2 linked regions of the Saccharomyces cerevisiae S288C genome follow. Changing the gene in region 1 together with any one later gene gives a genetic interaction. Each region holds a gene or a part of one and is shown in the gene's direction. Other genes may lie near its edges.

Region 1 (3,960 bases):
TGGCTCGCATTTAAGAGGTGACATCAATATCCTAATGGTGGGTGATCCATCCACTGCCAAGTCCCAATTGCTAAGGTTTGTGTTGAATACAGCATCACTGGCAATTGCTACTACTGGTAGAGGTTCTTCCGGTGTCGGTTTGACCGCAGCGGTCACTACTGATAGGGAAACAGGTGAAAGAAGACTAGAGGCTGGTGCCATGGTTCTTGCTGACCGCGGGGTTGTATGTATTGATGAATTTGATAAGATGACAGATGTGGATAGAGTCGCCATTCATGAAGTAATGGAACAACAAACGGTGACGATTGCCAAAGCAGGTATTCACACAACATTAAATGCTCGTTGTAGTGTTATTGCTGCCGCAAATCCCGTTTTTGGGCAGTACGATGTCAATAGAGATCCACACCAAAACATTGCCCTACCGGACTCGCTGTTGTCTCGTTTTGATTTACTATTTGTTGTGACAGACGATATCAATGAAATCAGAGATAGATCCATTAGTGAGCATGTCTTAAGAACACACAGATATTTGCCTCCAGGTTATTTAGAGGGTGAACCTGTGAGAGAGCGTTTGAATTTATCATTAGCCGTTGGGGAGGATGCAGATATAAATCCTGAAGAGCATTCCAACTCCGGGGCTGGTGTAGAAAATGAAGGAGAAGATGATGAAGACCATGTCTTCGAAAAGTTCAACCCCTTATTACAAGCAGGTGCTAAGTTAGCAAAAAACAAAGGTAACTATAACGGTACAGAAATTCCAAAGCTAGTCACCATCCCATTCTTAAGAAAGTACGTTCAATATGCCAAGGAAAGGGTTATTCCACAGTTAACACAAGAAGCCATCAATGTTATTGTGAAAAATTATACTGATTTAAGAAACGATGATAATACCAAAAAATCGCCCATTACTGCAAGAACTTTGGAGACTTTGATCAGATTAGCCACAGCTCACGCCAAAGTCAGGTTATCCAAAACAGTCAACAAGGTGGATGCTAAAGTGGCTGCCAATCTACTAAGGTTTGCACTATTGGGTGAGGATATCGGCAATGATATCGATGAAGAGGAAAGTGAATACGAAGAAGCTTTGTCGAAGAGGTCTCCACAGAAATCACCGAAAAAAAGACAAAGAGTCAGACAACCAGCAAGCAACTCTGGATCCCCAATCAAATCTACTCCAAGAAGGTCAACGGCATCTTCCGTTAATGCCACGCCATCGTCAGCACGCAGAATATTACGTTTTCAAGATGACGAACAGAACGCTGGTGAAGACGATAACGATATAATGTCACCGCTTCCTGCGGATGAGGAAGCTGAATTACAAAGAAGGCTTCAACTGGGGTTGAGAGTGTCTCCAAGACGTAGAGAACATCTTCACGCACCTGAGGAAGGTTCGTCGGGACCTCTTACCGAGGTCGGTACTCCAAGATTACCTAACGTATCTTCTGCAGGTCAGGATGATGAGCAACAACAGTCAGTTATTTCTTTTGACAATGTGGAGCCTGGTACCATTTCTACTGGTAGATTGTCTTTAATCTCAGGTATTATTGCGCGTCTGATGCAAACAGAAATATTTGAAGAAGAATCCTATCCTGTGGCCTCTTTGTTCGAAAGAATCAACGAAGAACTACCGGAGGAGGAAAAATTCTCCGCTCAAGAATATTTAGCAGGTTTGAAGATCATGTCGGACAGAAATAACTTAATGGTTGCTGACGATAAAGTTTGGAGAGTCTGATGTCACAGGAATGTTTACTAAAAGACTTCCATTCTTGGCTTTTTTTCTTTTTGTCATTCATAATTTTCAGTTCATTTCCAGATTATTTAGTTCATTAATTGTTATTCGTGTATTAAAGAATTATGTATTAAAACGCTTATTTCCTTCTTTTGTTTGAATGTGTTGTAAGCAGTTATGGGGCACTATATCTTCTGTTAATGAATATGTGTGATACTTTGGCTTATCTTACTTGCTCATTCGTGGCTTCTTGTCACGCCATACGTTACGCGTTTCTCTTCCTCTTCGCGTGTTCTGAATAAAGCCAAGTGGCAATGTCTCTTCCACCATATAACATGAAGCTTTAGCAAGCTTTTAGCTCTAGACATAGTTGACATATCAGACCTACAGAAACATAGGAATCGGTAAATGACAAAGAAATCATTTGTGAGCAGTCCTATTGTTAGGGACTCGACATTGCTGGTACCAAAGTCATTAATAGCAAAGCCGTACGTATTACCGTTTTTCCCGTTATACGCTACCTTTGCCCAACTATATTTCCAGCAATATGATCGTTACATCAAAGGACCTGAGTGGACTTTTGTCTACTTGGGGACATTGGTATCCTTGAACATCCTAGTCATGTTAATGCCTGCTTGGAATGTCAAGATCAAGGCGAAATTCAACTACAGTACTACTAAAAATGTCAATGAAGCTACTCACATTCTCATCTACACCACTCCAAATAATGGTTCTGATGGTATCGTTGAAATTCAGAGAGTAACTGAAGCGGGCTCTTTGCAGACTTTTTTCCAATTTCAAAAGAAAAGATTCTTGTGGCATGAAAATGAGCAGGTATTTTCTTCACCAAAGTTCCTTGTTGATGAATCCCCAAAGATCGGTGATTTCCAAAAATGTAAGGGCCATTCCGGTGACCTAACTCATTTGAAGAGACTATATGGTGAGAATAGTTTTGATATTCCTATTCCAACATTTATGGAATTATTCAAAGAGCACGCTGTTGCGCCATTGTTTGTTTTCCAAGTTTTCTGTGTTGCCTTATGGCTATTGGATGAGTTCTGGTATTATTCTTTGTTTAACTTATTCATGATTATCTCCATGGAGGCAGCTGCAGTATTTCAAAGATTAACTGCCTTGAAGGAATTTAGAACTATGGGTATCAAACCTTATACCATTAACGTGTTTAGAAACAAAAAATGGGTAGCATTGCAAACCAATGAATTGTTACCTATGGATTTAGTGTCTATAACAAGAACCGCCGAGGAGAGCGCAATTCCTTGCGATTTGATCTTGCTCGATGGCTCCGCTATTGTTAATGAAGCAATGCTTTCAGGTGAATCTACTCCCTTGTTAAAGGAATCCATTAAATTACGTCCTAGTGAAGATAATTTACAACTGGACGGTGTTGACAAGATTGCTGTGTTACATGGTGGTACAAAGGCATTACAAGTAACACCTCCTGAACATAAATCGGATATCCCTCCTCCACCTGATGGAGGTGCCTTAGCCATCGTCACCAAAACTGGCTTTGAAACATCTCAGGGTTCTTTAGTTCGAGTTATGATTTACTCCGCTGAACGTGTTTCCGTCGATAATAAGGAAGCGTTGATGTTCATTCTTTTCTTGTTGATTTTCGCTGTTATTGCATCCTGGTACGTTTGGGTTGAGGGTACAAAAATGGGTAGAATTCAATCCAAATTGATCTTGGACTGTATATTAATTATTACATCTGTTGTTCCTCCTGAGTTACCAATGGAATTGACCATGGCTGTCAACAGTTCTCTGGCCGCCCTTGCCAAGTTCTATGTCTATTGTACTGAACCATTTAGAATTCCATTTGCTGGTAGAATTGATGTTTGTTGTTTCGATAAAACTGGTACTTTGACCGGCGAAGATCTTGTGTTTGAAGGTCTAGCTGGTATCTCTGCGGACTCCGAAAACATTCGTCACTTGTACAGCGCTGCCGAAGCACCAGAAAGTACAATTCTTGTCATTGGTGCTGCTCACGCTTTAGTTAAATTGGAAGATGGTGATATTGTTGGTGACCCAATGGAAAAGGCGACCTTAAAGGCTGTTGGTTGGGCTGTCGAAAGAAAAAACAGTAACTATAGAGAGGGCACCGGAAAATTGGATATTATCCGTAGATTTCAATTTTCTTCTGCTTTAAAAAGGTCTGCTTCTATTGCTTCTCACAACGATGCCTTGTTTGCTGCTGTCAAAGGTGCACCTGA
Region 2 (3,408 bases), on another chromosome or scaffold:
TCTTGATTGCCACGACGTGACGTTTTGAATGTTGTGGTTAGTCCTTGGGGAAAACTGAAAATATGAATTCAAGCTAACTGTATCTTTTTGGATAGGGAATTGATCTAACAAAGCATTGTTATTATTATTATTATTATTATTATTATTGTTATTATTACCATTATCTTGAGGAAATGTTGAAAGACTGTGGTAAAGATCAGGAACCATTTCACTCGGGTTGATATCTATGGCGTCCTGACACAGCTCTCTTAAGGAGTCTAAAACTTGGTTAAGGAAGTTGTTGGAACGTACCTGTATCTGACTGCCCTTATACTCTGAATCTTTCGTGAAGTTTGCCAAGATCGCCTGTTGCTCAAGAAGATTATCGTGTAGTAATTGTATGAGCGATTCCGTTCTATGCTCGCAAACGCAACTTTGCGAATGGGTCTCCAACCACCAAACAGGGACAAAGTTCTCACAGACCCGGCATAGTTCCATTTTTGGCAGAGGTAGATTGAACTCGTCTATTATCATTTCCAGTCGTATTCTCTTCAAGTACTGCACGAAGATCTTAGCGCCGAACCCAAGCGTCTTGGCGAACTCTTCGGGAAGTTGGATATCGATATCGTCGCAATTATCGGATAACTGGATGACCATGTCGTCTTGAGCGTCTTCGTTGGCATAAAAGTCTGACCAGTCGTTTGTGCGAGGCTTGACTATCCACATCGTGTGAGAGGGCAACTGTGTGTGGCCATCCCTGATTAAGATACCACGTGCTTCCAAGGTCGTTATCGTACTTTCATCGTCACAGCCTGCGCTACCTTCATAGTCGGCTGCCTTTATCTTGAACGTTATAGTGCAACTGGTGTCATCATTCATGAGCAGCATGTCTGTGGCCTTTTGAAAGACACCTTTATCTTGATCGGATCCGAGAATAAGGTCTGCAATGTACGTCGGAGAAGAGCCACTATCATCGGCGACTCCTGTGATCGTGTTCCACTGTGGAGAGCCATATCGCACCTTGCCGTCCAGTTCCAGCTCCAAGATCATACACGGATTCTTCTCTGTGGCCAGCTGCAGATATTTTTCATAATTGGAGGAAGTCAATGAGCTTGGGTTCGAATTCGATGATATCGGGGAGAGCTTGTTTATGCCAAGTCCCTCTTTCATAGCCTGAGATCCGCCTGCGGTGTTACTTCTATTGAACATCTGTCTTCCTCTACTGGGCTTATCTATTCTATCAAATGAGGCAAGAGAAAGGAAAGGGAAAAAAAAAAAGGGAAAATGCTTGATGAGTTAGGAATTCAGTAAAAGCACCCACCAGAACCTCTACAGCAGGCCTTCCAGGAGTGGTTAAGAGGATAGAGAATTCTGTATATATATATACGTCTATATCTATACAAAAAACGGCAGACAATGCAGAAGTTGAAAATGCTGTGATACGAACAACAACTTATTTTTACAATGAAAAACAACACCAAGCTGCCAAAAGCTGTATATTAAAGTTAAAGCTCCCTCATTTTTAGTAAGGACGCTTTCTTTTCCCACAAAAGGGACGAGGAAAAAAAGAAAAACCTGGAAATATAGTCACGTGACATGAATAAACAAGACCTAGGGCAATATGGAAAAAGAAGCTAGGATAAAAATACATTTATGAGGGTTGTAAGGCAAAGTGGCTCAGCATTAAGTAGGGCTAAAAAGAGTCGCAAATATACATCGTACCGAGTGATGAACGTGGTTTTGAACACCTTGTTCTCTTTTGTTCTCGCTCCCTACATTCACTATATATTAGAAGAAATTTCACCTCAATGGACAACTCGAGAAATGAATACAGAAATATGTTTTTTAGCGAAATTTTCCTTTCTTCTTGTCTTCTTGTTTTATTTAAACTTCCAAGGCTTTAACTCAGTGTCAAACATAACAACCTCCTCCTCCCCCACCTACGACAACAACCGCCACTATGGAAATGACTGATTTTGAACTAACTAGTAATTCGCAATCGAACTTGGCTATCCCTACCAACTTCAAGTCGACTCTGCCTCCAAGGAAAAGAGCCAAGACAAAAGAGGAAAAGGAACAGCGAAGGATCGAGCGTATTTTGAGAAACAGAAGAGCTGCTCACCAGAGCAGAGAGAAAAAAAGACTACATCTGCAGTATCTCGAGAGAAAATGTTCTCTTTTGGAAAATTTACTGAACAGCGTCAACCTTGAAAAACTGGCTGACCACGAAGACGCGTTGACTTGCAGCCACGACGCTTTTGTTGCTTCTCTTGACGAGTACAGGGATTTCCAGAGCACGAGGGGCGCTTCACTGGACACCAGGGCCAGTTCGCACTCGTCGTCTGATACGTTCACACCTTCACCTCTGAACTGTACAATGGAGCCTGCGACTTTGTCGCCCAAGAGTATGCGCGATTCCGCGTCGGACCAAGAGACTTCATGGGAGCTGCAGATGTTTAAGACGGAAAATGTACCAGAGTCGACGACGCTACCTGCCGTAGACAACAACAATTTGTTTGATGCGGTGGCCTCGCCGTTGGCAGACCCACTCTGCGACGATATAGCGGGAAACAGTCTACCCTTTGACAATTCAATTGATCTTGACAATTGGCGTAATCCAGCCGTGATTACGATGACCAGGAAACTACAGTGAACAAGAACACTAGCCCCAGCTTTTGCTTTCTGCTTTTTTTCTTTTTTTTTTTTTTTAGTCGTGGTTCTCTGATGGGGGAGGAGCCGGTTAAAGTACCTTCAAAAGCAGAATGCAGGGTTATTGGAAGCTTTCTTTTTTTCTTTTATGCTAGTTTTTCCTGAACAAATAGAGCCATTCTTTTCTTATTACTAAGAAATGGACGGCTTGCTTGTACTGTCCGAAGCGCAGTCAGGTTTGAATTCATTTGAATTGAATGATTTCTTCATCACTTCATGAAGACAATCGCAAGAGGGTATAATTTTTTTTTTCTCGTTATTATCGCTGTTGGTGGGTTTTTTCTTTTCATATATTTCTTTTTCGCTTAGTGGTTTCTACTGTTCTGTCTCCGGTTAGTGTGTGCTACTTCAACCGAAGAAGAAGAGGCTTTTCAAGAATGCAAACGTGAGGTTGGCGCGCCCTCCTACAATTATTTGTGGCGACTGGGCAGCGACACTGAACATAGCTCTTGAACAAGACCCTTTTTTGGCTGCAAGGAGCAAGACTGGCTGGGGTTCCACCTCAAAGAGCCACGCTCTGCTTTTTTTCTATCTGTTTGTGTCATATCTATCTGTCTATTTATCTATATATATATTTTTTTATATAAAACTATAAAGAATTCTTGATGTATGCCCTTAGGTTGGGCAGCTTTTCAACCTTAGACTTGATGCTAACGCCGCTCTGTTCCTTCTCCCGTGCTCCCGCAAGCGAACATCTCCCCCTAACTCCGGGCCAATGAG

What was found. A genetic interaction does not mean that the proteins touch.
Region 2: mutations in SPF1 (region 1) and HAC1 together harm fitness more than expected from each alone (negative genetic interaction), as found in Saccharomyces cerevisiae (5 studies listed by BioGRID, with this or other methods).

The regions. Positions count from the first base shown.
Region 1 is NC_001137.3:88,121-92,080, forward strand, and holds the start of SPF1 (ion-transporting P-type ATPase SPF1), read left to right. Parts: upstream 1-2,137; coding exon 2,138-3,960. Other genes in the region: MCM DNA helicase complex subunit MCM3, read left to right, coding at 1-1,732. UniProt on the Saccharomyces cerevisiae protein: Endoplasmic reticulum translocase required to remove mitochondrial transmembrane proteins mistargeted to the endoplasmic reticulum.
Region 2 is NC_001138.5:73,240-76,647, forward strand, and holds HAC1 (transcription factor HAC1), read left to right. Parts: upstream 1-1,939; coding exon 1,940-2,600; intron 2,601-2,852; coding exon 2,853-2,908; downstream 2,909-3,408. Other genes in the region: protein kinase RIM15, read right to left, coding at 1-1,188. UniProt on the Saccharomyces cerevisiae protein: Transcriptional activator involved in the unfolded protein response (UPR) pathway. Recognizes and binds to the UPR element (UPRE) in the promoter of UPR-regulated genes such as KAR2, PDI1, EUG1 and FKB2.